4 linked regions of the Diceros bicornis minor genome follow. The protein of the gene in region 3 interacts with the protein of the main gene of each other region in a biochemical or structural test. Links are inferred from orthologs where the notes say so. Each region holds a gene or a part of one and is shown on either strand. Other genes may lie near its edges.

Region 1 (7,741 bases), on a different chromosome or scaffold from region 3:
TTGGAACACACACATACACACAAAAGGTGACAGAAAGAATTCATTGAGAGTAGAGTATTTAGATATATAGAGAAGAGACCATTTATAGGGAAAGGTTCTTGGGAAGGTACAATGGGATGAAATCCAAAGCATAAAGTGGAGGGATTGGCCTATCATAGGAGGAAAGCAATGTCCTCTATTTGCCATAAGAAGAAGGGAGAGTAGGAGGAGTGAAGATGGTATGTAGGTTTGCATGTTTAATGGCTAGAAGCTGAAGGAGTTTCCATCTGAGCACTTTGGTTTTCTGGTGAAGCTGTAAGAAATATCTTCAGTTGATGGAAAAGGTGGAGGGTTTGGAAATTTGAGAAGTTTGAAGAAGGTTTCAGTTATCACAAGCATTATTCATAATAGCCAAAAAGTAGAAACAATCCAAATGTCCATCAACTGATAGATGGATAAATAAAATGTGGTATATCCATACAATGGAATATTATTTAGCAAAAGAAAGGAATGAAATACTGATACATACTACAACATAGATGAACTTTGAAACCATTACACTAAGTGAAAGGACACAGTCACAAAAGGTCACATATTGTTTGATTCCATTTATATGAAATGTCCAAAAGAGGCAAATCCATAGAAACAGAAATATTACTGGTTGTCAGGGGCTACAAGGAGGGGAAGAAAGGAGGAATAGGGAGTGACCGTTAATGGAAATGGAGTTTCTTTTTGGGGCGATGAAATATTCTGAAATTAGATACTGGTGAGGTTGAAGAAATATTTGAATATACTAAAGACCACTGACTTGTAACTTTAAAAAATGTGAATTTTCTGGTATAGGAATTATATCTCAATCAAGCTGTTATTTAAAAAAAAAGAGAGAAAAGTTATTAAATAGGCTAGTTGCACTATGCAGATAAAGGAAGTGGGATTGGCAGGCAGCAGAGACATCCACGAAATTAAATAAGCTTCAGCTTGGAGACCCTCATTGCACAAGTCCCCATGAGAATAGGGAGCTGCTGGAAGAGGTGGTGTGTCCTAGTTGAGAAGGGAAACCAGGAAGCACTCAGGAAGCATATCCACGTTAGGATTCTGGTAATCATAGAGATCTCAAAAGAAAGGCATCTGTATCTCTAAGCCTCCAGTAATTTTTTATTTATTTCTTCATTCTAAATACATATTCATCCTAATTTTGTATTTGTAATTGTATATTCTTTTCCTTTAAAAGGACTCTCCCCAAACTGTAGAAGCTTCAAGTTCCAGAAAACCAAGATCTGCCCTTGCAGATAGTTGAGGATGTATTTGAGGTCATTGAACACGAATTTATAGTGATGTCACTCATCCTGTTGTGTGACTTGCTCCAACAGTACTCAGCTGCTTGGGTGTAAAAGAGAGTAGAGTTGAGTTCATCTAGAGTTGGGGTTTTGTGAGTTGGGAGCATGTTATTAAAAATGTGGACCACAAAATTTAAACTGGATAAGCGGGGATGTGAAGTAAGGAGAGGTCTGATGGATCATGAGAAAGCAGAGGAGTCAATAGGCCACAACAGTTGTTGAGAAGAAAGATGATTATAGAGGAGAATTTGAAAGATCAAGTTGGAAGATAACATGGTTAAGGTGGGATGCCGGAGGTGAATGACAATGTCCATAGGGGCGATTGTTTGAGGCGATCTGAAGGTCACAGGCGATGACATGATCATTTGCTCTAAGGAAAATCTAAACTCAAAGATGATCTTCAAGGAGCTGCACAATCTGTCCCCTGCCTGCCTCTGTAACCTCACTCAGCCCAATGTCCCTCTCACTTGCCTCACTGCTGCCTTCATTCAGGAGCTCCTTCAAGCCTAAGGACTTATACACCTAGGAGTTTCTCTGTAGTTTCTCTTCTGTCTAGAATGTTCTCCTCCGCTACTTGGCCAGGCCAACTTCTACTCATCCCGAGGATCTCAGTTTAAAGTCTTTTCCTCAGGGAAGTCTTTCCAAATCTAACCACTCTTCTCCCAAGGGGTAGATCCTCCTATTATATGCCCAAATAAGACTCTCTTTTTTCTTTTATTTATTTATTTATTTTTTCCCCCAAAGCCCCAGTAGATAGTTGTATGTCATAGCTGCACATTCTCTTTTTTCTTTCACAACATTTATCAACCATATTGAAGAAGTGATGGGGCTAACTATTTGTAAAATAAAATTATCTGTAAAATTTAATAAAATTATCTGTAATCTGTAAAATAAAACATACACAGACTTCTCCGGGATTGAGGAGTGCAGGAACAGGTCTGGCTTTCCTCTCTGTTGTATTTGAGATCCTCAGAGACTTGCACATACTAGGACGTTCCATAAATATTTGTTGTATGAATGCAATTTAAGACACGTATAATAGCTTTTTCCAGCATACGTTTTAAAATACAAAGATATAGAACATGGTTTAACAGATAATCTGAAAACGGCATATAATATAAAAATAATGTAAATTTCCTTCCTAAAATACATACATGGAGACATATCTATCTTCAACCTCTCCTCAACCCTTATTTCATCTCTACAAATACAAATCTAAAACAACACAGTCGAAGATAGGGAAAAATAAAGATTTCTTATATAGAAATGAGATAATTGGATCCCTTATTTGAAATAAAAAAGTTATTGGAACTTCCAAAGGTAAATAGTACATTATACTACCATTTTCCATTAAAAAGGACTTTACAACAGGAGTGGAGGGAGTGGTGAATTTTTTAAAGCCAACAACACATTTGGAGGACGTGAGGCAAAATCTGTGTTCACATACTTAGAAAGAATCGCTTTGGTTTATTAGCTGCCATAAAATTTACACTCATGTTCTAAAAAGCCTTTAAATTTAAGAAAAACAACAACAACCCCTCTTGCTTGTTCTTTCTCTCAATCCTCTTTATGGTTTTCCTTGTTTCCACAAAACAAGTCTGATTCTCTTCTCTTTAATCTTTTAAATCTCTGGCTAAAGGCCTCCTCAAAGAAGACTTCCTTCTTATTCTGTCTGACCTAGTCCACTCCAGTTATCCTTTCACCTTACTGTGTGTTTATTTCCCTCAGGGCACCACATTTATCACAATCTGTACTTATGTTGACCTTTTATTTGTTTACTATCCTATGCGACCGCGGGAATGTCACCTCCGTAAGTGCAGGGACCCTTGTCACCACCCCCAGCCTACTATAATTGTACATTTTCAGACTCAGAGGAACTCCTGAACACGAATGATGTGTTAATAAGAAAATGCCTGAGGTTATTTTTCCCAGAAATGTTCACTTATCTCCTTTTATCTGATTGTTTATATTACCTTCTAAAATTTGTTTTGGGGCTTTGTTTTTCATAAAAAAAGTGGAAAAGATATTTCTATTACAGGATCAATCATGTTAAACTCAGGACCAGGGATCATAATTGTAAAACACATACAAATAGGCAAATAGAACTAGGACATCCAGTAAGTTTCCCTTTCTAGTCCAACATCCCAAGGGTAGATTTTAAAGAAATACGAAGTCAGTGGAAGAAACTGGCAACAAATGGAGGCAGTGTGAGACTAAAATGTCCCAGAGCCAGACTCGGTCAAATCCTTTGGCCCCGATAAGCGCTCCCACCACTCTGGCAGGGTTGCTTCGGGGACCAGTCCACGCCAGGCTGGGTGGGTCCCCCTCTGTCCTCCCCGCCAGGCTGGTCCCTAAGGCGCACTCCCCTTCGCCTTCGCCCTCCCGGTCCTGGGGCTTCAGTCTCGCCGGCAGAGATCAGCGGGGTCGCGGACTCTCCAAGGCGCCGTGGGCTCCCCAGGCTGTTTTGCTTTGCAGGCTGTCAAGTAGAGAAACCCACCCCATGCCCCAACCCCTCCCCCCCAACTCCTGATTTCGTGCACAGTACAAACTCCGAAGTGACACCCGCCAGAGCCAAGATGGCAAACCGCAGACTGAACAAGAACGTTAGTCGCTCTTCCCCGCGCCCAAGCCCCGGTGGCGCTGCCTTCTCCGAGGACTCGGCCGCGTTCCCCGGCGAGGAGCCCCCTGGGGGCTCCAGCCGCCACCGCCGCCGGGCGGCCGAGGACCCCGCTCCAGGTTCTCGAACTACAGATCCCAGGGTGCCTCTCGGACTCCCGCTCCCTCCCTCCTTCGCTCCCTCCCTCCGTCCGTCCCCTCCTCCCCCGGCCCTTGTTGTTTTGGCTGGAAGCGTTCTGGCGGAGTTTCAGAGAAAGTCTGGACAGAAACCTGAGCCGGCCTGAACGTGGGAAGGGGAGGAGGAAAGGGAGGAAGAGAGCGCCGGGAGGCCGGGAGAGGGAGGGATCGGGGCTGGGGGCCGGGCCGCTCAGAACCTGCCGCGCGCCCCAGGGTGGGGGAGGCGGCGCGGGAAGAGCGAGAGGGGACGGGACAGTGGGATCAGTCCCGGGAGCCCAGCAGCCGAGCGCCTCGTCCCCCCGCCGCTTCCCGCCCTCTTCGGCGGCGGCGAGAGCGAACCCACCCTCCGGCGGGACCTGCGCCCTCCCCAGCGCCCGCCGCCCGGCGACGCCCCGCGCTTGGCCGCCGACCCTGCGGCTCCCTCCGTGGCCCGGGACCTGCCCTGCGCCCGCTGCCCACGGGACCCTCGCGGCTCCCCCTTCCCTCCGCGCTTTTGGGCGCCGCGGGGAAGTGACCCAGCCTCCCCCGAGGAGGGGGAAGGAGATCGCCCGGGGCGCACCGAAACCGAGAGCGGGCGAGCCAGAGTGGGCGCCGCGCGGGGTCATTGTGTGTGTGAGTGAGTGTGTGTGTGTGTGTACGCGTGCAGCGTAGTGTCTGTTTCGGAAAACGCTCTGGGGAGGTCCTGTCCCTAGAGGGCGGAGCGCAGGGGACCGAGGCTCCGGCGCTTTGCTGGGTCAGAGTCCCGCGGAGCCGGAGCGCTGCTGGGGCGGCCGGCGGGACGGCGCGCCTGGCGGTGAGGCGGGCGCCCTCGGCCCGGCGGCGGCCCCTGCCCGGAGCTGTCGGCCTTGGTGGCGCAGCCCGCCCCTGTCGACGTCCGCGGACCTGCGCGGGAGAGGCTCGGCCGCCGAGAGCCAGCGCGCCGCAGAGCCCGCCCGCCCCGTCGGCCCGGGCTGCGCCGCCGGAGAGCCAGGTCCTCGGCGCTGCGCGGCGGCGGGCGTCGGCCGTGTCGGGAGCGCGCCCGGCCGCCCGTCTGCTGCCCGGCGCGGAGCCGGAGAGGCGCGCACCATGAGCGGCGGCGAAGTGGTCTGCTCGGGATGGCTCCGCAAGTCCCCCCCGGAGAAAAAGTTGAAGCGTTATGTAAGTACAGCTTCGGCCTCGGCCGCGCCGGCCTCCGCGCCCGCACCCCTCCCCGGCCGGCTCGCCGGCGGCTGCAGCCGGCCGCGCGCGGGGCTGCTTCTCCAAGTCAGTCCCCATCTCTTCCCCCTCGACCCCTTCCCCATGCTCGGGACCGAGTCGACACTCACGCCCTGGCCTCCTCTTTGCCGGGCAACTTTCCTCCTCTGGATTCCAGACGCCGGCTTTGCGGGCCTTCTCGGCCCATAGGAGGGCCCGGCATGTCCAGCTAAACGCCCGCTGCGTGTTTCTATTATTCCTTTTAGCAGGGGTGAGGAGAAGACCATTCTTTCTTTATAGCTGCATCTCATCGTTATGGGGCTGCTGTGTCCTCAGTTTCCCGCACTAGGAAAACCGCGGAGATTTTAGAACTCACCAGCCCTCTCGCTGGTCCGCGCCGCCTCTCGCTTTCCCTCGAGGTGGGTTGCGGGAAGCGGGCTGTGGACCTGAGAAGTCAGTATTAGAGACAGGCATCTCAAATCGGCGCAGAAGGGAAAGAAAAGTTATTACGCGCTCTACCGTTTGCTTAACAGGGTTCACATTTTCGCGGTTTTGAATCGAGGGCCATTGGAGCTTGGCCCGAGAGCCTTGGCAGTTTGCTGCGAGAGGAGGGCGCTGGGGGGAGCCTGGTGGCTGGTGTTTGGGCGCCTTGGACACGCTGTCAAGCTCTGCAGGAGGGGACAGCTGGGGCCAGTAAGGATTTCTGTTTGTTGCGGTCCTTTCCCAGGCCACCAGAGTTGCTTAAATGGTATTTGTGTGATTGATACAAGATGCTGATTATGTGTTAAACCGTTTTAGCTGTTAGGGAGAAAATTCCTTGAAAGAATCAATGTTTCTTTGGTGGAAATCTGTGTCTTCTTCAGGGGTCTGAAATCTCGCCCCTTCTCCCCCATTGGTGCTTTTGTCGCTGCCCCCTGCAAAGGAAAGAACTGATGCTTTTGCCCTGGCATTTGGAGCAAATATTTTTCTAGTAAAATATATTTCAAAAGCAAAATTTATGCCCCCTAAAATATAAATTTACTATCAGGGGGCTGACACTTCTTCTAATGGAACCTGTTTCTTGTTGAAGGACATCTACACCCAGTGTTAAAGCTCGGGTTAATCCTATTAGTCACTGTTTGCTTGTATAGAATGGAGTGAAATATTTAACTTCACTGACAACTCAGCAGTGAGTTCTGATTTACTTTCTGCCAGAATTTGTTATAGACAAGTAATTCTCATTTAAAGATTTGATGCCACAAATCCTAAGAAAGTTCTCCAGAGATTTTGCATCCTTCCAAATTCTGTCTCTCCACCTATCACAGCTTGCCTGAATATTAATGGTAAAGATGCTGACTTTATTCCAAAAATTTGAGAGAAGTAGTAGTTTTTTTCAGCTCTTAGTTCTAAAGAGAACGTTGTATGTGTGTGAGAAGAGGGAGTAGGGAGAGAGATGTATTTGTTTTGAGAGGGCACACTTTAGGAAAGACATAGATCTAAGTGATTGGGTTCTTGGGGGAACTAAAGAACAAAATGTTTGCTGAAATAGGTAGTGATAATAGAGAATTACTGCATTCTTTCACGTGGTTGGTTTGTGGCTCCGTCAAAAGATGCTAAGCACTGAACTAGGCACCCTAGGATTAGAAAACACAGTAGGAAAACAGCCCTGCCTCTTGGACTTGCAATTTAATGTAATATAAACCAAGAAGAAAATCAGCCAAAAAGATTATGTCATAACAAGGACCAAAAAAAAAAGGAAAGTCTAACTTAAAAAAGTATTTATTATTTTATTTGGTCGTTACAACAGTTTAATGCGGTAGGTGTTATCTCTGTTTTACAGATGAGAAAACAGTCTACATAACTAGAATGTACCAGAGGTGGGATTTGAACCCAGATCTGCCTGACTCACTGGGCTCTAAAAGGTTAATGCCTCTCATCTAGTTCATTTCAGGTAGAGCTCAGACTAGATCATCGCTAAAGGTCCTTTCAGATTATAACTTTCTATAAGTCTGTGAATGTTAGTTGAGAATGTGAGGAATAGGTGGGCTGTGGATCAGATGTGCAGTGCTCAAGAAACGTAAGACCCTTCAAGCAGCTTTCTGGGTCTTTGGGAAGATAGGTCAAGTATACATGAAAAAGTGAGCCAGCAATTCATAGTGGTTTCTCATTGTGTGCCCAAGCTGAGTGGTATGTTTGTTCTTTTTTTTTAATAGATGTTTTGAGGAACAAATCCAATGTAGTCTGAAACCATGAGAATATTTGAGAGAGACAGCAGGCTACCTAAATTGTGTTTTCAACAGGGGGAAGAATATGCCTAACAGCTAGCTGGGAGGAGGCGGGGTTTTCTTGCCTGGAGGAACACTAGTCTTTTCTTTACACACCAGTGACTGGGCCATGGAGATGGCCCAGGAAGACTGGGCAGGGTGGCTGTTAGAATTGAGGGGTCCAAGAGGGTGACTGAAGTGTTATACGTTACAATG
Region 2 (7,719 bases), on a different chromosome or scaffold from region 3:
ATTTGTAGAATTATAGAGAAAGTGAGCTATTTGGGATGATTTGGAAACAAGTCATGGAATCCCCAATTTTACCACTTTAAAACTTTTTGGGGGATGGCCATTTAGACATAACCCAGTACAATGAGATAACCCCAAATGGAGTTAAAAAAAAAAAAGGAATTCCACCCACATTTATCAGGTAGCTACTTTGTGCTATGTGATTGCTGGGAGGGAGGGATTGTTCTGATCTCCTCTGAGAACTGAGTCCCCCCAGCCCCCGTGGGAGCCCGAGGAACTTACACAAGGTCATACAGCTCCCAGGGGACAGCACCAGAAACTCAACAAGGCCATTTGCCTATGAGACCTGCCCTGTTTCCATCAAGTCCTGCTCTCTCTGTGGGTTTTGTGATATTAGTCTCTAGGGACTAGACTAATCAGGAATGTTCTGGAAAGCTTAGGTTAGGAGAAAACAGATGGGCAAAGCTGCCTTCCAAGGCATTCACAGTCCTGGTTTGGAGGAATAATGATCTAAAAGCTCAGAAAAGTCCACAGGTTGGCCTCTTGCCCATCCCCGCACAGGGCTGGCGCCTTTGGTGCTTTTTACTCTGCACCACTCATGTTAAAGTCAGAGGAAGCTCCAATTGTGTGTCGGCCTAAAGCAACCAGCTCCCTGCACTGTACCACCTCCTAGGCATCTGAGACTAGCTACATGAGTAAGCGTGAGCGTTAGCTGAGAAGGTGCTCGTCCTGTGAAAAGCCAAAGAGAGGCTCATTAGTGCAGCATCATCTGCACCACCTTCTCCTTATTCAAGTAGGTGTCAGAGAAAAGAGGAAATCAAGTTGGGACTGATCAGAAGGGAAACTTTTCAGGGGTGGGGGATGGAGAAGCCACCCGCCAGGGCTTGATGTGGTTGCTTGGATCACAACTGGGTACCACCTGGGGAATTCTCTTCGCCGGGGGTGGAGGGGTGGGGAGACCCCTCCACCTCCTTTCTAGAGGTGACCTCCCACCCACACAGTGGAAAAAGAGAAACTTACTTTATGACTATTTGCATTTAAAAAATAAAGGCAAATGGGCAAGTCCTAGGAGGCCCGTGTTTTCATGGGGTTTGCTCAAGCATGCCACCCCCCGGCCCCAGGGTGAGAGGTGACAGTACAAGATGGATTCGGTGGACGAGGGCCTCCTGAGCCGGCCCGGGCCCTGGGCATTACAGTGTCAGCTTTCTAGAAGTGGCTGTGACGGGAGGAGGAGGCTATGACTTGAGCTGGTTTGGAGAAGGCGGGAGAAGTGGCCTGGGCTCTCCCGGCGGCAGCAGGGGGGGGCCACTCTGCACAGCTGCACAATTCTGAGCTTTAAATGCGAGGTCAAGGGCCCCACTACACACTCCGCTCCTCCTAGCACGCGCTTCCCTCCCCTTTGTCCTTTTCCACCTGAGGTTTGGGGAGGGGAGGTACTGGGCTAGAAAGGAGAGCCCCTGGAGTTGCCCTGCATCTGACTTGAGCGGGCAGTAGGGCAGCAGGTCTCTGTGTGTTCACGTCAGGGCATCTGAGGGGCCCTGCGACCATGCCTAAGCTGGGTGTCTCTGTTTGGGAGGAAGTGGGAAGGCTTCTTTTTAAGGGGCCACAGAAATCGTGGAATAAGCAGTACACAGAGGCAGGGTGGGAGCCTGGCTCTGTCCACTCCGATGCTGAGTTGCAGCTCAGCTGACTATGGTGGCCACCTGTGCATGTGAAATTTGCCCAGTGCACTGTGCAGGGGGCATGGGGAATCAGGCTTAGTCACCCCTGTCAGGAGAGGGAGCTCGGGCCCTGAGCACTGTGACGTAAGGGGGAAGGCAGAAGTGTCCCAAGGTTCCCCATGACTCACCTGGGGAACACGGACGAGTCACTTGACCTCCTCACCATCCCCTTCCCAACTCCCTAGAGGACCTACACAGTGCACCCGCCAATGCCCTGACTAGGAAATAGGGGCCAGTGTGTTCAAGGCAACCAGTACCACTGGCCCCTGAACCGCTGATGCCCTCCGCCAGCTCCCTGGCCAAGCCCCGAAGAGCTCTGTAGCTTCAGGAGTCTGGCTCAACCTGGCATCTCCAGAAAAAGCTGACTTTTGTCATCACTGATTAACCTGTGACATTATGCCATCCCCCTAGAACGCCTGAACCCTGTGATGCTACCAGCGGAGCACAAGGATCCTGTTATTTTCAGGAAGATTTCCTAAGGCTCAAGTCTGGCTTTGTGACGTTTCACCAAAAAAGCCATGCAGAGCTGTGCTGATATTCTATACCCAGCATAAATCATATCACCCGCTGGCAGGGTGCAGTAAGCAAGAGCCTAGGTTTCAGAATCAGACTGGCCCGGGTGGGAAATACGACTCTACAAACAGCTAACGAGACAAACTACATTCCCTTTGTGGGCCTCAGTTTCCCCACCTATAAAATAAAGGGATTGAACCAGCTGCTCTGGAAGATTCATCACAAAATCCTAGCGAATCAGCATCCTTCCAGGGCACGATGGCTCAATCTTTTTTAACACTTAATTATGAAAATGTTAACTACAAGCAAAGCGAGAGAGACCAGTATAATGAAGCCCTATGTACCCACTGCCCTGTTTCCACAGTGAGCAGTATCCCCCATCACCCCATCTTCGCCCCAGACTCTCGTGGGATGGAGTTAAGCATCCGCCAAAGAAGCCAGACTTACCATCGGGGTTGGGCAGAGGCCTCTCGGGAGGCGCCGGAGTGGATCTCATGCTGTTTCCCATCTCTCTCTCTCTCTGGACTGTCGAAGATGCTCGAAGCCTATGGCACGGGGGATACACACAGAAAGTCAACTGCGCGCCGAGCCCTCGGGGTGGAGAATGACCCAGTTTAGAGCACATCGTGCATCATTTTTCAGGCAGCTCGCTCCTTGAAAGGCGGGTGTTTTTAGGTGAAGATGAGCCTCGTGAATGTTGGTTATATTTACGCAGCTCTAGTTCTTTTATCAAGGGAATGACAGAGAAAAACCACAGAGAGGGAAGTTGCTAGCTAACGCTGTTGGTGGCGAAAGTTTCCATTCCTGCGCACGCTGGCTGACAGTGAGCAGCAGTGTTTGTGTGAGCGATGAGTGGCAGTTCACATGGCCTCGTCGGGTCTCTCCTCCCATGAGCCCGGCCCTCAACTCCCTGCACCGGGAATTGGGGGCACTTAAAATGGAGTTAAGGGGGTGAGGAGAGGGTACTTCCTGTTTCAACTTTCCCTCTTCTGTTGGAGTTTCTCAACATGCTCTCACAAACAGCGAAAAAGGGAAACTCCATAACAATGCCATATGTTTGCAGAACAAGTCACGTGCCCCTGCTGCCCTTGTGCATCTGCTGTTACTCTTGATTATGGTGTAGTCCCTGCACCCCTAACCCCATGTTGCAGTGAAGGAAACTTGAGTCTCAGAGAGGGTAAGGGACTTGCTAAGGTCACACGGCACGTAACCGTGGGGCCGGGATTGGAACTGCTGATGCTATGTCTCCGCTTTGTTCCATAGTGGTTCAAATTCTGGGTCTGTGCGTCCAAGCTAGGTGACCTTGGGCAAGTTGTTGACCTTCTCCTGTCTGTTTTGGGGAATAATAATCAAACAACATTGGGTTGTGGCTGCAAAATTAACAGATAAAGCGCGTGGAGCACTTAGAACATGGCCTGGCTTAAAATCCGTTTTAGTTATTGCCATCTACAGTCTATTTTCTGATTGCCCATAGTGATAAAAGCATGAATTCTGGGGCTTCATACAAGTATTTCAGAAAGGGGCTTAAGTGATTACAGAATGAAAGTGTCCTCCCAGGCTGCTAGAGGCACAGAGAAGAAGGCCACACCCATAGACAGAGCTGTTTGTGTCTCGTGGGGACACAGAGGAGAACTGATGAGGCAGGTTCCCCCAGGGGGTGTTCAGCCCAACTAGAAACTTGCACCCCACCCCATTCTTTGTCTGCAGTTTAGGATCAAGGCCTTAGGAGTTTGAAATGGTCCAAAAGTCAGCCCATCCAACCGCCACCCTGGCATTAAATTCTTCCTCTTTGTACTAAACATTCAGATTCTGGACAGATCTGTGCTCTCAGAGCAAGGCCTTTCAGAGGTTGAGGGAGGTGTGCGCCACTTCCTAATTTTGGGCAGAGGGGGAGTGAGATGGGATACCTAGTATATTAGGAAACAGGGGAAACCAAAATGAGTGTTTTTTGAAAGTTAATATATTTTAAATATTTACATGAAAAGTTCATCAGTTATAAGTCAAACTAATAGATTGTTATATAACCGTGCTGTTCCCAAGATAATTAGAGGCTTTGCAACAGACTATAAACTCATAATGCACCACAGAAGGTGTGGCTGAATGGGCCATATGTTCAAAGTTAAGAATCCCGGGTCCTCTTCAATCAGGTTGGTCTTCATGATGGGAAACCATGGGGATGTCTGAGGGTGAGGCCCCTCCCGATGTGAGGCCCGGCCCTTCTTTCTCCATCTCGCCCCCTCTGCCCCATATACAGCTAAGGGGACGCCTTTGACCCTGGCAGGGCCTTTCCTGCAGGCTGGGCAGGCTGGGCAGTCTTTAACAGCATCACCTTGGTTCCAGGGGGCAGGGACAAGTTGTCTCTGTCCCTAACACCCAGCCTAGCGTAGGCATTCGAGAAAACGTGCTCCAAAAAAGTGCTTGAAAAACCATGCCTGGTGGAGTGGCTGGAAGCCTCATTCCCTGCAGTTCAGCAGACACCTAAGGAGCGTCTCCCTGCTGGGCCCTGAGCTGGCACCCCGAGAAAGGCAGGTCCATGTGACCCCACCTGCTGACAGGGGAAGCAGCCACCTCTGAGGCCTCACCTTAGACATGGGCAGGGAAGGAGCAAATCAAGTGGCCTCTGACTCTGAGGTGCTGGCACCCCGTGTGGTCTACGCAGATGTCCCACTGAGGCCTCCCGCCACCTCTGTCCTGCTCCACATGCCTTCCTGGAGCCCACTAGTCACCCCAGTCCCTCAGCCTTCCCATCTGTCATTGCCAAGGCCTTTGGGCTTCTGGAGAAAGCTCTCAGGCAGGCTGAGGAGAGGCCCTGGCAGGCCTCCCATGCAGAGAGAACTCTGAAACCTGTGCACTGGCTTCAGCCCCTCAGTTTCTCAAGTGTCCCCACACTGCAGAGCACTGTGCTGTCACTTGACTCCTCTAACCATGCCATTCTGTTCCCTGGAGTCTGACACTTGGCATCAAGGATCAATTAAACACCAGAGATTATGCCTTTAACCCTGCCCCAGAGCGCCCGCTTGGAGTATCAACTCCCACCCCTCCAGACATCCCAGGTGCCCCTTGCCTCCGGCCTGTCCGAGCCTTCCCCCTCCCTCCATCTTTTTCCTCTGAGCTGTTTCCAAGAAACAACCTCCAGCTGGCCCTCACATCCATCTCATCCCTTCCCTTACATCGCAATTCTAGAAAACTCGTCATGAAAAGACTTGGTTATCTATCAAAGTGAATTCCAACTTCACCCCTCTTCCCAATGACTTTAGAATTCTTCTCAAACATTCATGTGCTATTTGTGGGGATTCATGGAATCCAGTACAGGAAAAAAAAGACACTTGAAACTTGCATTTTTCAGATGGGAAAACTGAGGTCCATCCAAGAAAAGAAACATACCCAGGGTCTCGAGATGAGAAAGGTGGAGTAGATCCTAGGAGCCTGGATTCTTCTGCTTTGGCACAGCCCTCTCCCTGTTTCTGTCTGGTAGGTCGGTGTGTGCACGCTGAGAGCAGGCGCTGGGGCCGGGCTACAGCCCATCATGCCCTGCGCGGTTCAGAAAACCCATCAGCTCTCAACAGCCCCTTAGTGGTCTGCTCACTGGCTTCCTCTAGTCTCCAGGAAGGAGTTAACTTATCTTTTTTTTTTTATTTGAGAAGAGTGAAATGCCCCCAGAGAATGAGAGCTGGAGTCTCCCTGATGAACCGACTGAGCAATTTGATTTAATCTGTGACAGTTTTATGCGGTGGCTGGAGGTGGGAGAGAGGGTATGAGAGACATAATTGCTTCTAGGAATAATAAGAAGAGGGCAAAAGAGAAATGAGTTCATTAACGTTGGCTCTGAAAATGCTTGATTTCTTTCTCTCTTTTCTTTGTGATGTCAAAGGATCCGAACTGGCGTTTGCCTCTGATGTTCCCCCCAGTCTTTGGACCAATGCTGTCTTCTTTGCATGACCTTGGGCCTCAGTTTACTCTTCTGAAAAATGACATGAGTGGAAAAGATGATCCCCAAAGAGAGGCACTTAACCCCTTTTAATTCTAGCAATCAAGACTCAATGGCTTTTTGAAAATTATTAGTAAGAGAAAAGAACCATCATCACTTTCTTATAAAGTCCCAGTAGACAGGATCCAAACCTTGTCTTTATGTTCTTCAGGATCAAGGGAAGGCCATTCATCTGTGTTCTACACCCACCTTCTGCTGGGCAATTAGCAGACACCATTGCATTTAATCTTCCCAGCATCCCTGGGAGGCAGATATTCATCCTTCACCTTCTTGGTGTGGAGGTCATCCCCTGCTCCCAGAGCAAGGATTCAGGGATGCAGGGATGCAGGGATGCAGGGTGCTCACGTATCTCTCCTGACTTCAGAACCCATGTCCTTTCTCTGGGGCCGTGCTACTCTCTCTCCACAGGGAAGAAGAGAGATCACCTAGGAACTCTGGTCCGTGAATGGCTGGCTGCCATTTGAGCGGACCCACAGCATGGAGAGGTCACACCTGCGGGGGGTTGCTGTCAGGAATGCAGGATGTGCCTTCTCCAGCCAGGTTTCTGTTTGACTAGATCAGGGATGCTTTTATCGCATGCTCTGCACTGTCTTATAAACACAGGGGTTCAGGCTTCTCAGAACCTTCCATTCCCGGGGCAGCATCCCAGAACAGTTCTATGTGCTTTATCCTCTTTCTGCTTCTAAAAGCCAGGCCTCGCTGTTAGAAAGGAAGGTTGCCTGAACCTCTTCATAGCATGCCACGGTGGGAGAGCTTGAGGAGCCCTGGCCAAGGGAAGCAGGTCTAGACTCTGTAGAAAAACCAGGAATAGCTGGAAAACCTCGGTGACAGTGGGAATTAATATAAAACCTACTTAGGGATGCAGCCTTCCCTTTGGCCTTAGAAACTTCTTGCACATAGTGGGACAGCTGTAAGCCCATTCACATGACCTGCTTCTAAGGTGTGGGAGCATGATGCCTTAAGTGGGGCCCCTCACTGTCCACCATATCCGAACCCCAACAGCAGCAGTAATCACCAGAACTCCCCCCCCGACAACCGTGGTTGATCAGCGCTTACCCTCTGCCAGGCACCGGGCTAAGCATTTTATGGCCGTCATACCCCGGTTGCTCACAATACCCCCACTTTACAGATGAGATGAAATGAGTAACTTGTGCAAAGTTATATGACTAGTAAGAGGGAAAGCAAGGGTTCAAACCAGGTCTGCCTGACTCCAAAGCTTGTGCTTTCAACCACTGAAATGCTGTCCTGCTTTCTTGGTTCAGTTTAAGACTGCAACCGAAAAGTGATTTTTTAAAGTCATCAGAGCAAACTTCAGGGGCCATAAACTTTTGGGTGAAACTTCAGTGCAAGAGACACGGAGGTCCCGAGGGGTCTCTTGGATCTCAGGTGGCAATGTTTGGAAGCCCAGGTCTGGGGATCTGGCTGGGGGGAGCAGAAGGGACAGGAGAGAGAGGCCAGTTAAGGTTTGCTCAGGTCTCAGCTGCCATGGCCTCTCTTAGG
Region 3 (7,568 bases):
GCGCAATTTCCAAGTTCACGGTTAATTTGGTGACAGCTGCCTTCACGAAAGGTGGCCACGGTGACCACTGAGTAATTGTGAGCAGCAGTCTAGACCGTGAACAGACTCACACAAGGGGCCTTCCTAACGAGCCTGTTCCCGGGCCCTTCCCTCCCTGTCCCAGCATCTGACGTTAGACGCTCACACACACTTACCCTGGCTTTCCTAAAACCAGGACTCACGCAAGGCAGTGGAGGCAGGTGGTTGAGGGAGGGCTCTGGGGCTGGAAGGCCTGAGTTCAAATCCTGGTTCTGCCTCTTACTAACTGGGAAAGTCACTTTACCTCTCTGTACCTCAGTTTCCTCACATATAATGAGGGTACCCACATCACATGCTTGATGTAAGGACTAAAAGGACACTTGAAACAGTGTCTGACAGTACTAAGTGCAACAAAGAACAGAAGATACCATATCTCAGAACCAAATAAATCTCTTTAAAATGAGTAAATTTTCCTGAACAAAACTGACTAAATTTGATTGATATGAGTCTTCGACGCTTTTTGTAAAAAGACCTCATCTTATATTTTTACTAATTTGCTCCTTAAATTTGGTCTTTTCATGTTACTTTAACTGAATGACATGTGTTCACCTACACTCACTATTTTATTCAGGAGCATTCTGTTTTAAGCAAATATGGGACTAACAGGCAAAATAAGTGGTATTTATGTTCTTCTCAGAAACAAATCTCCAAGCACTAATAGCAGTGTTCAAACAGGTAACAGCAATGAGCTGGGATCATTTCTGGAGTGAGAAGTGATGCTTTGGAGGCGCTCTAAGAGTTTAATCTAGAATAAGGATGGGGTCCCCTGCAGCAAAAAGGGAGAGATCACCTGCCTCAGAGAACCCTGCAGTCAGCCAATTCAGGAACAGGCTCACAGCCACTGGGGCACAGCACGGAGGAGGCAGAACCCTGCAGCCTCCATAGAGAGGAAAAGCTTTCAGGGAAAAGACTAATCCCTTAGTATTGAAATCACCTCCCACCTCCTCTGTCCCACATTTTGCAAGATTGTTAGAACTCCAGAAGTTCCAAAAGAGCTCCTTACATTGGCAGGTAATCTTTCCCAAGACTTGACCAATCTCTCCTCTGTGCCAGGGTTCCCCAAACCTCGCTATCCAACAGAATCACCTGAGGAGCTTTTAAAAACCCGGATGCCCAGGTCTCACCCCAGACCAATGAAATCAGCATGTCTAGAGGTGGGAGCCAGACATCGATTTTTGTTGTTTCGTTTTAAATCCCAAGTGATTCTAATTTGCAACAAAGTTTGGGAACCACTGCTTTATGCCTTAACGCTCCCCCAACAAACGCACTCAGCCTCAAACTCCTCTTCTCTGTGCCAATGGCATCACCAGCAAGTACAGACCTGACTCTTGGAACCCGGGCTGCTCGATTTTGAAACTGTGCAATTAAACCTTCCGAGGCATGTTTCTCAGGTCAAGTGCCTATATGGTCGGTACTCACGAAGCCAGACTCGCTCAGGCTGGGTCTGGACATTTGCCACACGTGCACCATGGATATCAGTCCTTTCTTTTTTCAATTAAGTTTAATATTTTGGTTGGCCCAATGTCATACTCTTCAAAAAGCTAAAAGAAACATCCCAAAGAAAAAATCTGGGGATTTTGAGGTGGAAAGTTTGCTATGAGCCTTATTTTGAAAAACTATGGGGACCTGGCCAGATGGGTTCCGCCCACAGAGAGGTCGGCACCAGGACCCAGCTGTCCAGCCGCGGCCGGTCCCACCGCTCTGTCCAGCTCCACCGCAAAGCCTAGAGAGGTGACCAAAGGGCAGCAGGTGGGGCCAAATCTCGAGAGTTCCCAGGAAGCCACCACTTCACGAGACCCACGCGCTCAAGGGGCGAGGGCGCCGGGGAGGGAGCTCTGGGCTGGCAGGGAGCCTGGGTCCCGGGGCGGCAGCAAGACCGCGCGGAGCGAAGGATCTGCGCCCCAGGCGGGGTCCGACCTCACCCTCCTTCTCTTGCCGAAGACGAAACTAAGTCCTCCCTTCCCGGTAGCCACAGGTAGGTAGTGGCAGACGAGTTCTCCGGCCTCCCGGTTCAAGGCTGCGGCTCCACACCCGGGAAAAGGGCTTGCAAGGACCCAAGAGCGGGGCCGGGACCCAGGCTGGCAAGGCCGGGTGCAGCGAGCCACCTTAAGTGTGAGACGCGGAGCGTCCGCTCCTGTCCCAGGAGGTCGGAGAGGAGTGGGGTGGATTCCCGCCGGTCCGTCCTCAGCTTCCCTAAGCCCCTCGGGGGAGTCCCCCGGCACGGTTGGACCCCCAGGTGACAGCCCGGGGCGCACGTGCGGAAACACGAGCCGCCCCGCGCCCACCCCGTGTCAAGTTTTCTCCCTCGGCCGTCGACCCCGCGCAGGAAGGCAGGAAAGTGAAGCCGGAAAGTTGCGAGCGCTCCGGGCGCCGAGCTCCGGGCGACAGTTCCCACACCCGCCCGCAGCCCCGCGGCCCCGCGTCCGGAGTGTCCCCTCCTCGGGCCGCCGCGGACTCGCCCAGCCCAGAAACGAAACGTCCACTGCCTCCCACGGTCCCGGCCAGAGGCGCAGCCGACCCTCAAGGAAACAGGAGAGGAGCGGCGGGCGGCGCGGGACGCGGAGCCGGTGCGCCGAGCGCGGGCTGGGCCGGGACGGCGGCGCGGGGCCGGGGGGCACGCCCTTACCTTTCTTCTCCTCCAGCGCCGGACTCGCCTGGAAGTGCGCAGCCAGCAGCACCAGGAGCGCGGCGCCGACCGTCCCCGACGATCGCATCCTGCCTCCGAGACGCTCGCTCCGGGTCTCCGCAATTAGCCCCGGACGGAGTCGGAGTCGGAGTGGGAGTCGGAGTCGGGCGCCGTGCGCGGCGGCGGCGGCGAGGCGGGGACTCCGGCGGACGCGGAGGTAGCCTGTTGCCCGGACCGGGAGGCGGCGGCCGGGGCTCGCTCGGGGCTCGCGCGGGATTCGGCCGCCCTGGCCGCGGGCGTGCACACCGTGCCGGGGGCGGAGGCTGCGGCCGCCGCGCTGCGCTGGGGGCTGCCCAGACGTCTAGCTCGCGGGGCGGGGGCGCGGGAGCGAAGGCTGGGCTGGAAGGAGGAGGGACCAGGAGGAGGAGGAGGGATCGGGAGGAGCAGAGGAGGAGCAGAATACGAGGAGGAGGGAGGCAGAGCCAGCAGCTAGGACCACAGGCAGGCAGCCACTAGGAGGTGGGGACGGCGGTGGCCCCCGTGGGCCCGAGCGCTCAGTGAGGGCGGGAGCGGGGGCGGCGTGCGGGACCCGAGGGTGCCCGTAAGAGTTAACTTCCGAGTGGGGCGTTCCCTGCGCTGTCCCCCAGGACCCGGTCCGCGAGGACTCGCCCTGCTCTCTCCGGGGCCAGCCTTCGTCGATCCTCATTTGTACAGGGTTCCCATTTCCCCGCCCCACCCTCTAACTTGAGGAGCGAACTTGTACCAGCTCTGGGCAGACTAGCTGAGCCTTAGGCCCAGGATGGGATGAGGAAAAAAACCCCTGTACTCTGGCCCCCAACTCCTCCACAGCACCCCGGGATCCTAGTGGGGGGTCGGAGGCTAGCCTGGCAGCCTAGTTGTCCTTTGCTGCGCCTTGCTGTGCCAGGTGTCTGAGAGGGTGCTCTCAGGTACGAGAGGCCTTCAGATCCTGTCACCCTCGAAATCGTCTGAAATGAGGGCACCCGACTCCTGGCACAGAGACAGGCCTTGGGAAATGTTTGTTGAATGAATGCATGAGTACCGAGGGAACCCACAGCGTTTCATATGCCGGGAATCATCCAGGGGTACTTGAAAAGCAAATAAATGGGGTAAATTACCTCGCAAAACTTTGCGAAAAATTACACTTTTAGAGAAGCCAGGTGCCCCATTGTCCTGAGACAGCACACGTAACCCAAGCAGGAGAAAAGCCAGGGAAATCTGCTAAGCGTTTGGCCAGAAGAAAGTATGCTTTCTCGGGCTGCAGGAACTTGAGCTCAACTCTCTCAGCGAAGTCTGCCCTACTCCCACTGCCCCTCCGCCCACAGGATACATGTCCTCAGGCCCCATTTTACAACCAAATCCCCTCTTCTCCTCCCAAGATCCACTGGTGACATTCAGGCAGGTTCAGCGCTGGTCTCCCCACTGTTGAAGAAGGGATCACAAACCTAAAGGAAATGGAGTTAAGACTGGGACCTTTCCTGTCCATGGAGGAGAGGAACTGTGCATCCTTCCTTTCCACCCAGCAAGGGTAGGGCACCGGGCTCCTCACCATCCACAGAGCCCATGACTTTTCCTCTGAACTGAGAGTCATTTGTGTTCATTTGTTTTAAGAAATCAGGAAGACCACTGAGCCCTCTGAACTCGTTTAGCCCCTGGGTGGAAAAGGCTATGAAGATTCTGCAGGCTATGGGTTTGGTTCCCTCCACATGTTCCGAACAAGGACTTCAAGAAGTATGTAAAGACACAGCTACAGAAAAATTACACAAATTAGAGAAGGTCAAACTGGAAACACAACAGTGGAAGGTAGAGTGAAGCCAGGAGAGAGTCTTAGAGAAGACCTGCGCACACCCAGGTCCTGCATTTCCTCAGCAAGGGCCACCGATTTGGCTCTAAGCCATCTGTCAAGGAAACATGAGAGGTGGCACAAATCTATTGTCCATATGTTAATACACTAATCAACTGAAGCTACAACTAATCTTTAAGACTGCATAGAAATTTATCCCATGAATCCCCCGAAGCACACAGTGTGTGAAGGTATCCCAGCTCTCACTGACTGCTTTTAGAATAGACAGCACCACCTTCACGGTGCTGTCTTCTTATAATGTCCCTCCACATGATCTGATGGCATCTCAAGAAGCAGAGCTTTGTGAAAACAATTCCCCAAGGAGACAGTGTGACACTTCAGGCACACAACCCAATAGTGGGTTGATCCCAGCGAAGGGAGAGGAACGGGTGAGTTAAAGATCCTCCTGGGACACCTGTGTTAAGTTTGAGTTTCTGCTCTGAGCTTGTGAGGCATTCAGGATGCTTTTGTACCCCTTGGCAGGTACATGGAGTGTACTGATAACTGTGTTACTTGTTAAGTAAAAAAACTAATGGCCAAGCTGGCAGAAATGACATCCTCTTGAGAAAACGGAGCCTTGCCTAGGCTGAGCTATGCATAGAGGGTGCTTGGGCATCCAGTCTCTGCAGGGAGTGATCCCAAGTCACATCCCAGGCCACATCCCAGGCGAAGGCTGCCGCCACAGGAACAGCACCAGGAACCCTGGCTGCATGCTGCTAGGTACTGATCAGAAATGAGCTTATCTGACCGCTGTAAGCCAGGTTACACCTTTGTCTGCCTTTTATGACAGGGTGATGCTGTGTCTTAGCAGCATTAAATAAATCGCTTGTCCGAAGTCCCCAAGCGTACTTGCTAGTATGAGGCCAGCCTTGAACCCAAATCTAGGCCATGTTCTTCTTTACTCTTTTGCTGCAACTTTTCTAAACCTGAGACAGATAGAGACTTTGGGACCCCAAATTCTGTTTCAGAATATCTTGGAAACTTTTTAGAGGAGGTACAACCAAAATTTCTGCTTGGCCAAAAACTTCCTAGATAAAGCATCCACGTACACCATATTAGCAAGCATGTACTGCAACCGTAGTATATCCCACATTAACTCTCATATGTGCTGTCAATTTTCCTAACACAAGCTGTTCATTCTCTTTGCCATCTACAAATGGGAAACTTTTTTTTTTTCCTTCTCTGATGAGCATTTTTCCTCTTGGAAGAGGCTTCTGAGTATTTAAATGAGTTTAATCTTTTCTGGAAGGAACATGGCAGGGAATCCCCAGAAATCACATACCTTGTGGAAGGAGAGGAGAAACTGGAGTTATTTTGCAGGATGATGATAGGAAGGCTTCGAATGTTTTGAGTTCCGTCTTAGGCCAGAGGCATTTGACCACCTGTTTTCTCTGGCCTTTGAGGTCAAAGCAAGGATTAATGAGGAAAAACATCAGAGGGGCAGATTTCAGAATTAAAAAAATTATCTTTTATAAACTACTGGAGCTATCTAAAAGTGGAATGAGCTGCCTCTGAGTGGAATGAGTTTCTCCATCCTTAGAAAGATTTGTATGCAGGAGCAGTGCTAAGGGAGACTGTGAATTAAGGACTGAACCAGGTCCCTTCCAATCCTAAAATTCCGTGGGAACATGCATTTCTAACATAGGCTTCTATTTCAATGTACATGGACTCAACAGCTCTTCTAAAGATACATTTTAAGAAGACACAAGAATGTGGTAACAGGGTTGCCACTGGGGAGGATAATTAGGTAGCTGGAGATCAGGGTTTGGAGGGAGACTTATTTTTCAACTGTCTGTCCATTTATACCTTTGCAATCTTGTACTGTGAGCAGGCATGGCCTATTTCTGTAAGGTAAGGGTCAGTGACCTCAGTAGGTGACCTTGTTGAGGTTCCTGGGCACTCCTGGTGGCAGCCTTTCTTGGTTTCCTCCGCCATTTGCTCTCTTCTTTTGAGTCAAGTTATATGCACTTGACTCTGAGTTGAGAATATGGAAGAAACAACTTCTTTCTCAGGGATAATATGCTGACACAAAACTGCTGAGGCATTCATTTGTCATTAGTATTCTTATTAGTGTTGTATGTCATTAGTATTTATCGTTATCTCTAGGGTTGAGGGTTATGTAATGCTTGGAAAGCAGGATCTCTGTTTTGAACATTAGTTTCTGGCTTTGTTGCTTGTTAATTACTTTGCATCGGGATCTTATAGGAAATTTCTGGACCCTGCACAATGCTTTGCCTATGTTAAAGGTTTAAAACTGAGATTAAATAATTTTGTCCAAGGTGTCACTACTTGTCTCAGGGGTGGTTATCATTAGAAATATTAGCCTCAAGGTTGCAACTGGTGGCTTGCAGACCAAGTTTAGGATACAGATGTGGTTTTGTGGGGCCCACTCAATATTTCTTTTAATTGAATTAATGGCATCATTTAAAAATCAGGAGATTTCATATTTAAAATATGATTTTAAATTTTATGTTTCTCTTGAAAAATGGGAAGTGCTGGCCAACTGCCAACTGGGTCTGCTTTCATGCAAGATGGCAATTGGCTGGGTGATAACTGTCCCCTTCAGAAAGGACATTAAGTCTCCAGCTCTCACCAACACCACCAAGCCTGATTCACCAGTTCATGGGGCCTGCGTGGCTACTGTAAGCATTCAAGTTTGCAGCCTCACCCTTCCTGGTTAAATAATGCTATTGCCACTTTATAGGTATGATTCTCATCTCTGGTTTTCCTCTCTCCCTTATCTTCCTTTCTCTATCCAACTCATTCTTCCTCATCTCATCTACATTTGTTGATAGATTTTGGTCCAGAGGTCATAATACATTATATATCATGATAGACCTCACTTCAAATTAGCATATTTCAAATATGGAGTAATATAAAAGCACAAATTTTATCAAAGCTCATGATTATACCTTATCATTATTATGGTTAACATTCTGTAGGCATATATATATGGTACTGATCAGAAATGAGTATATCTGACCACCTGTGAGCCAGGTTACA
Region 4 (7,917 bases), on a different chromosome or scaffold from region 3:
GGTGAGGACTAATTAAGTACTGGCTGTATGCTGAGGTACAGGCTGGCTGGCTCACAGATCCAGAGATGGGCTGGTCAGACATCTAACATAAGAAACTACTCAGTAAACATTAAAGAACTGTTTAAAGAAAAGGGATCAAGTTTTATGTGTGGATTAGACACTGCAAGTCTATAAATCTGCCTATCTTCAATTGTGGACGGGGCTTCACTGAGCTATACTTTTATATTACACCTTTTGTATTCATACATGGTTATTATAAGGAACAAATGAAAACTGCATTAGCATTTGCTTTTATCTGTTAAGAACATTCTCCACTATTTCAATCAAATAAGTGTCCATATGAGAAACTTCTTTTATAATTTAACCCCAGGAAAATTTTTCTCCCCCAAAGAGTCAGTTATCAGAATAGAGTTTTTGCTTTGGCTACCAGGAAGCTCAGCCACATTTGATTCTCAATAACAGCGGCCATGGTAATATGTATTAACCATATAATATTCCTCCTTTTTATAACAGCATATCCCATTTCTATAGTACAATATGTTTGTCATTTGTCTTAAGTACTTTAAACTTTTTTAAAGGACTGGAAAAGAATATATTTGTGGTGGGCAGTGATGTGCCACTCAGATTCCCCTTCAGGGAAGCACTTGTTGCCCAACTGCTGGGAGACCTGTCAGCCCCCTAAGATCACCTCAGCTGCAGAGAGCTGTCTAGCAGAGGCTGTGCTCTTCCCAGGGCAGCCCACATCCAATGGCTGATTGAGGCGGGGCTATGAAGGCCCAGCCATTTCAAGCCAGCACCGGACCACAGAGCTCCCCAGGGGCTGGCTGAGGCTGTCATCAGGCCTGCCTCACAGTCTAACTACTCTCTGTGCCTCCTCCTGCTTCCTTCCTTCCCCTTCCACAGTGTTGAGCCCAAGGGCACTCCCTAATAAACATTCTTCACACTAACCTCTGTCATAGAGCCTGCCTCCCAAAGAACCCAACCTGTGACAACATTTAACCAAATAAATAAAAATAGAAAAGACATCAGGTAGGGGTATCATGGAAAAGGGTGAGGATACACAATAAAATGTTCATACCTATATGGGAGGCAAGGTAGCATTGACTCTGGAGCCAGGCTGCCTGGGTTTGAATCCCATCTCTGCCACCTCTTAGCTGTGTGTCCATGAGCATGTCTCTTAATCTCTCCATGCCTCGGTTTTCTCATCTGTAAAATGGGGATAATAAGAGTACATATCTCACTGTGCTGTAATGAGGAGTAAGCCAATGTGGGTAAAGCAGTTACATAAGGCTTACAATATGTCAAGCACTGTTCTAAGTGTTCGGTAAATAAGATAAAATAAAATAAACACCTATGAGGTCCAGAGGGACATTGGGCTAGGACTCCTCCCTAGACTCCAGGCACAGGTGTGGTGTGGGCCAGAGCATGTTAAAGCACGAGTGTTGACAGAAATAGGCCCAAGCAGGGCTAGCCTGGGCAATGTCATGGGCGTGTGCCTCGTGTGGGTGCTGGGCTGCTCCCTCCCAGCCGGTCCAGCTGCACACATTGCCAGTTACACCCACGTATCCATATATATATGCTGAGCTGGGGGAAGCCCATACTAGCCATACCCGCTGTGTGACCTGCTTTTCCTGAACCTCCTTTGGTGGAGGGAGGCACCTGAGGCCTGGGATGCTGGCTCAGAAGTCCCAGGAGGAAATGGGGCCCTGTTTCCTGATTAAGGGCCCGGCAGCAGACTGACAATATGAGCTCCTGTTGGCAGGGATTTCTGGAGCCCCTGGGGGCCCGGCTCCGGAGGCAAAAGCAAAAGCAAAAGCAAGGAAGTATGGGCTGCATGTCGGGAAGCTCTTAGAAAATGGAGAAACAGAGATTTTAAAAGGGCATCACGGCCTGCAGGCTGCCCAACTCGGCACAAGAAGCTAAACGAGGGCTGTAGCACTTAGGAGGGGACCTCCTGGAAAGATGGACAAGACCACATAAGCACAGAGGGGCCCCCACCTGTCTTCCTGGCCTCATCACCTCCCATGCTCCCCCTCACTTAGCAAACTAACCTTCTTTCTATTCCTAAACTCACTAAGTTCTTGCTGGCCTCAGGGCCTTTGTACATGCTGTTACCTCTGTCTGGAAAGTACTTTCCTCCAACCCACCTCTGATAATTCACCTGGCCATCTACTCACATCCTTTAGGCCTCTGCTGAGTCCTGGAGAAGTCTTCCTTGTCTACTAGATCTGAAGGAGGTCTCCTTAAAGTTTTATCTCATGGCCCTCTGTTCTTTTCCTCTGTAGCCCCCATCAAAATTGTCCCTACATCACAGAGTGTTTATCTGTTTAATGTCTATGAATTCCTGGAGTGCTGATGCTGGGTTTCCCTCATTCTCCCAACTCACGGCACCAATGTCTAGCACAGGGATGTTCAGAGGCCACAGACAGGGGCAGCATCACTTTAAGCCCAAGCCAGCCCAACCCACACTCTATGAGCATACACATTCTGCTGAGTTCCCTGTGCCCAGGGCCAGCCATGCCTAGGGCCTCCCCCACCCATCCTGATTAGCCAGCTAGCCTCCGTGCCCACTGGCTATGGACCGCCAGGACCTATTTAAGCCAGTGGCTCTCTTGTGAGGCAGAAAATGCATGGAGTCAGACAGACTTGGGTTCAAATCCCCATTTATTAGTTATGTGGCCTCAGAGCAAGTTGTGGATCTTCTCTGAATCTCAGTTTCCTCATCAGTAAATTGGGGACAATAATCCCTAATTAGAGGGTAATTATGAGGATCAGGTGTGACCACATGTGTACGCATTATAAGCACTGGGTCAACTTTAGTTACCTCCCTCCCACTTTAAAGGCCCGTCACTAGGTGGCAGACCATCTCAGCCACTCCACCTCCCCTTAGGTGGCTGAAGCCTATTAGCACAAGCATCTCAACTTGAGGCTGAATTCTCAGCCTCTTAGGGGCCACACTTGAGGGAATCAAAACATACACACACAAGTTACCACTACATCAACACAAAGCCAGAGGCAGCCCCAGACACTAGTCACCACCCAGCTGGGTAGAGTGCCTGAGCACACACTCACATACTCACAAACTCCAGGAAACCTGGATCTTCCTCTGGCATCAGCTGGGGGCTCTGCCGGGCTTCTCTCCTCTGAAATGAGGTAAGCTGTCCTGCTCTGCCTGGCTCAACATCTGTCAGCCAGGTTCCACTGTGACCGCAGGTGTTTTCGGTTTTGGCGGTGCGGGGCAGCCAGATTGCAAGGGCGAGTCTAAAGAATGGCTTCAGGAAGACAAAGAGTGTGAATCATTCAAATAAGCATAAAAAGGACTTGTGGCTGGAGAGTGGAGAGTGAAGGGGAGGTGGTGAGAGATGAAGTGGGGGAGAGAGAAAGGAGAGAGAAAAGGGCCAGACCATACAGGACTGGCTGGGCCAGGAAGGGAGTGTGGATTTTATGTGCAATGGGAAGTCACAAAAGGGTTGAGGACAGAGGTAGGGGATCATGATTTAGTTTCATTTTAAAGATTAAAGCATGGAGAACAGATGCAGGCAAGGCCAAGGGTAAACAGACCAGGTGAGAAAAGATGGGCCTTGGGCTTGTGGGTGTAGTAGATACCTGAGGGTAGAGTGACCTAGACTTGATGGACTGCTGTGGGGTTGAGGCAGAGAGAGGAATCAAGGATATGTCCAAACGGTTTTGGCCTAAGCACCTTACAGGAGTTTATGCCGTGTTCTGAGAAAGCAAAGACTGTGGGAGGCGCAGTTGGAGGAGGGAGGTGAGATGAGTGTGTTAAGTGGGGACGTGGAGCAGGCAGTGGGATGCAGGGGAAATACAGATCTGGCGCTCCAGGTGCCTGGGTTGGGGGTGAAGCCATGGGAAAGGTCAGGTCGCCTTGGGAACTGGCTCAGGACCCAGCCCAGAGGAAGAGAAGCTTCTGAGGCCGAAAGGCAGCGGCCAGAGAGGGAGGAGGAAAACAAGGGGAGTCAGGCCAGGAAAACAAAAGCTCCGCAGATCATTTGCAAGGGGGGGCGCGGTGAGGTAAGGCCTGAGCCCGCGCCCTGCCGCGTGGAGACAGGGCGGGAGGTGGGCGGGCAGTGGCCCCTGCGAGGGGCAGAGAGGAAGGTCGCCGGGGGCCGCAGGTCTAAAGGCCCTGCAGGCGATGCTCAGGCCGAATGACGGGACCCTCCAAAGCTACACAGGCCAAAAGCGCTGGACAGACGCGGGTCCCGCCGTCGCAGGAGCGGCCTGCGGTCCAGCCCTGCGGGACCAGAGAGGAGGGGCAAGACAGGCCTGCTGTCCATCAGAGCCCGCCGGCCAATCCGCAGGCAGCCCCGCCCCCGCCCCTCCCCTGAGAGGGCGCGCGGAGGACCCGCCGCCGCCGCCGCCGCCGCCGCCGCCGCCGCCGCGGGTGTGAGGCGGCCCGGCCTGGCCTGGGTCCCTCCGCCGGGCAGCCCGCCCAGGTAATTAGGTTTGGCCGGCGGGCCCGGGGGTAGCTCCGCATCCTCACCTCCTCCCGGTCGCGGCACGGGCGGCGCTCGGGAAGCGGGGCTGAGGAAACGGCTGCGGCTGGGCCTGTGCGGGACAGCGGAGTGGGCGGCCGCCTGTGCGTGTGCGACTGACTGCCGGGTCGGTGCGAGGCTGCCGCGCGTGGCGGGTCGGCAGTGGCCGCCAGGCCGTGTCCGGGGCCACGGGAGGGAGCCCCGCAGGACGGAGGTCGGGCTGGTGGCCCGCCGGCGGCGCGCGCGCTCCCGCCGCCATTGCGCCCCGGGCCTGTCCGGGGGGTCGCGGGGCGCAGGCGCGGCGGGCGGCGGGCGGGGGTCCTCCCCACGGGCGTGCGGGCGCCTTTGTTCCCGGCGCGCGGGCCGGGGCGGGGCCTGCGGGGCCGGCCCGCCCCCCACTCAGGCCCGCCCCGTCTCCGCCCGCAGGAGCCGCCGCCGGGGCCCGCTCGCCAGCCGCCTGAGCCGTCGCCGCCGCCGGCTCCCCCCTGCCCGGCCTGCGCCGCCGCCCCCCGCGCCGGAGCCATGGCGGGCGCCGCGTCCCCCTGCGCCAACGGCTGCGGGCCCGGCGCGCCCTCGGACGCCGAGGTGCTGCACCTCTGCCGCAGCCTCGAGGTGGGCACCGTCATGACTTTGTTCTACTCCAAGAAGTCGCAGCGGCCCGAGCGGAAGACCTTCCAGGTCAAGCTGGAGACGCGGCAGATCACGTGGAGCCGCGGCGCGGACAAGATCGAGGGGGCCAGTAAGTGCGCCCCGTCCCCGGGGCCCGCTGCGCGCGCGGGGGCGGTAGGGGTCGGCGCCCGGCTCCCGCGCGCCCCGGCCGGCCGGCCGCTGGAGTGACTTGGGCAAACTTTCAGGCCCTCCCCGCACCCTCCGGGTCCCGCCCCCGCCGCGGCCCCGGTGGTCACCGGGGGCGGGGGGCATCCGGGTCTTCAGTCACCTGACAGGACGCCCCCCTCCCCCAGCTCGGGGGAGTGTTCCAGGCGCTTTGCCCAGAAGCCTCAAGATCCTAGCGGGTTGGAGAGCAGTGGGGCAGGCATCGGGTCCCCCACACCCCGGGAGTGGTGTCCGCCGAGGCGAGGGGAGCCAAGGCAGCATCCCCCACCCAGGCCCAGGACTTGGGCCAGACCGGACGATCACCGCCCACCACCCTTTCTCCAAAAAGTGCAGTTTTGGTGAAAGCCGCTGGGACCCCGGGCTGGGCTCTTATTTGCAAAGGAACCTTTGGGTCACCGAAGTAGAACTTAGGCAGATGTTGAGGTAGGGCTGGTTTTGGAGCAGAGCCGGGCCTACTCGTCCCCCTCTGGTTTGGAGAAGCCTGAGAGAAGACAGTGGCAGCTTTTTCCCGCTGCTGCTTTTGTCCTGAAGCTGAATTTTGGAGGTCTGTGTGGGTGGGCAGAGACACCCAAAGCCAGTGCAGGGACTCTTGGTCAAGGGACCAGGCTCCCCGTACGCTTGGAGCTTGGTCCCAGAAAGGCCAGCCTCTGTGCTATATGGAATCAGATGCTCTTTTCAAGAGCTCGCAGCCTGTTTGGGGTCTAGCCCTTTGTGTCCTGCGTCCCCTGGCTGCAGGGAGCCGGGAGCGGCTACTCTTGATTTCCTGCCTCTTTGCCTTCCCAGGCCTGAGCTTGCTTGCCTTTGTGCAGGTCTCAGTTGGGAGGAGGGAGTTGGGGGATTTTGAAAAGCCCCATATATTTCAGAGTGTTACTCCACTTAGCTTGTGTCTGTGCCATGACCAGATGGGCACCCAGCTTTGCCCTCCATTCCTCAGCCTCCAGGTGTGAGAGATGATGTGTCTGCAACCCCACACTGTGGGTTGCTTCCTGCAGGGACCCCCAGAGACTGGTGTTAGAGCCAGGCTCAGAACTAGGTCCACGTGGAGGAAGGAGGGTCAGGAAGCGACACCCCCAAGGGAAGCTCCTACAGACCTCCTTGGGTATGGTGTACATGCACACAGATGGTTGAGGAGATTAGGAGGAAGGAAGGTCTTGTGGTGAGGCAGCCGTCCTCAACTACAAACTCCAGATCTGACACAGTTGCTGAACTTAGAAATGGCAGCTGCCCTCCTCCATGCCCCCATCGCCCTGTCAGCCATTTGGAGAAAATTTTAGTGATTTGAGAAACTGGATTCCGAAGTGGAGGAAGACAGACACTGCAGAGAGCTGAGATAGTCCCGGGAACATCACCCAGGCATCAGACTCCAGGCATGGCCCCTTGCTTCTGTGGTGCTCCCTGTGCTCTGCTGAATTGGTGTCACTGGTTCCCAGTTATTGGCTGGAGGTTCCCAGGTAGAGATCTCCTGGGTAACAGGCTGCATTTCAGACCAGGTGCGTGACCAGCAGCTAATAAGTGCAGCACAGTGGTTGAAGGCAAGGCTGGATTTGAAGCCCATATATTAGTTGTGTGTCCCCGGCCAGTTACTTACCTTCTCTGAGCCTTAGTTTCCTCAACTGTAAAATGGGAGTAATATATCGACTGTATATGGTTGTTCTGGGCATTAAATGAGAAAATTGATGTAACAGGTAAATAGCACAGTGCCTGACACGTTGTAAATGTTTAATAAATATGAGCTGTTATTAATAATAACAGTAACAGTAGTAGACTGTGGCTGCCCTCCTAGACCCTGGACTGGGAATGTTGAGGGAGTTGGAGAGTGGCTGTCGGAGCGGGTGAGGGTGCAGGAAGGGAGGAGGATGGGGACCAAGTTCATATTTCACTTAGATCACTACCCGGAAAAGGGGAGGAAATGGTTTTGTTTTGCCCCAACCCATCTACTCACCCATCCACCCACCATGGAGAACAGTGTATAGAGTAAGTATATGGAGATGTACACATCTGACTTCTGGCTGTGACTTTCTTATTTGTATGTTGGGGCCTGAACAGAAGGAAGGGGTGTGGAAAGGGAAGAGTTTAATCCATGGTGTCTCAGGTCTTTGGGGGATGGAGGTAGGAATGCAGAGGACCTGATGACCCCAGTCCCCAAGGGTGGGTCAGCCAGAGGGGTACAAATTCAGTGGTCTCATCAGTTAGCTGGGATTTGAGAGGCCTGGAGCGTAGGCACAGGGCATAGAAGGTGCCTTGGCCCTTTGATTTTGGAGGCCTGGATTGAAGGAGTCTGGTAAAAAGGCTCTTAGGTGCTTATGTGCAGCACAGACCTTGGAGATGGAGCCTCCCACTGAGCTGCCCTACTTTGCCCCTTCATGAGCACACGTCGTTGGTGCTTCTGATCCCAGCAGCCACCCTCTGCGGGCTCTGAGGAAGGTTGGGCTGCCAGCTGGGTCCCCTGCCACCTAGCCCCTTGCCCAGGTGCCTCAGGTGCCTGGCCTTTTCCTGCTGACCCTGCCAGGGTACCACACAGTGCCTGTAGCCTGACCAAAGAGAGAGACACTTCTGCTACCCTCAGGGTGTCCGTGGCCCTGAAAGAGAGCCA

What was found.
Region 1: the proteins of EGFR (region 3) and GAB1 form a complex in vitro, tested with the Homo sapiens proteins (2 studies listed by BioGRID, with this or other methods). The link is inferred for Diceros bicornis minor from reciprocal best matches to the Homo sapiens genes EGFR and GAB1.
Region 2: the proteins of EGFR (region 3) and SLA form a complex in vitro, tested with the Homo sapiens proteins (2 studies listed by BioGRID and IntAct, with this or other methods). The link is inferred for Diceros bicornis minor from reciprocal best matches to the Homo sapiens genes EGFR and SLA.
Region 4: the proteins of EGFR (region 3) and PLCG1 form a complex in vitro, tested with the Homo sapiens proteins (2 studies listed by BioGRID and IntAct, with this or other methods). The link is inferred for Diceros bicornis minor from reciprocal best matches to the Homo sapiens genes EGFR and PLCG1.

What each region holds. Positions count from the first base shown.
Region 1 is NC_080750.1:33,150,815-33,158,555, forward strand, and holds the start of GAB1 (GRB2-associated-binding protein 1), read left to right. Parts: upstream 1-4,733; 5' UTR 4,734-5,174; coding exon 5,175-5,246; intron 5,247-7,741. UniProt on the Homo sapiens protein: Adapter protein that plays a role in intracellular signaling cascades triggered by activated receptor-type kinases. Plays a role in FGFR1 signaling. Probably involved in signaling by the epidermal growth factor receptor (EGFR) and the insulin receptor (INSR).
Region 2 is NC_080760.1:47,016,022-47,023,740, forward strand, and holds the start of SLA (src-like-adapter), read right to left. Parts: upstream 3,008-7,719; 5' UTR 2,857-3,007; coding exon 2,679-2,856; intron 1-2,678. UniProt on the Homo sapiens protein: Adapter protein, which negatively regulates T-cell receptor (TCR) signaling. Inhibits T-cell antigen-receptor induced activation of nuclear factor of activated T-cells. Involved in the negative regulation of positive selection and mitosis of T-cells.
Region 3 is NC_080780.1:11,022,773-11,030,340, reverse strand, and holds the start of EGFR (epidermal growth factor receptor), read right to left. Parts: upstream 3,012-7,568; 5' UTR 2,793-3,011; coding exon 2,705-2,792; intron 1-2,704. UniProt on the Homo sapiens protein: Receptor tyrosine kinase binding ligands of the EGF family and activating several signaling cascades to convert extracellular cues into appropriate cellular responses.
Region 4 is NC_080758.1:19,443,102-19,451,018, reverse strand, and holds the start of PLCG1 (1-phosphatidylinositol 4,5-bisphosphate phosphodiesterase gamma-1), read left to right. Parts: upstream 1-4,916; 5' UTR 4,917-5,012; coding exon 5,013-5,229; intron 5,230-7,917. UniProt on the Homo sapiens protein: Mediates the production of the second messenger molecules diacylglycerol (DAG) and inositol 1,4,5-trisphosphate (IP3). Plays an important role in the regulation of intracellular signaling cascades.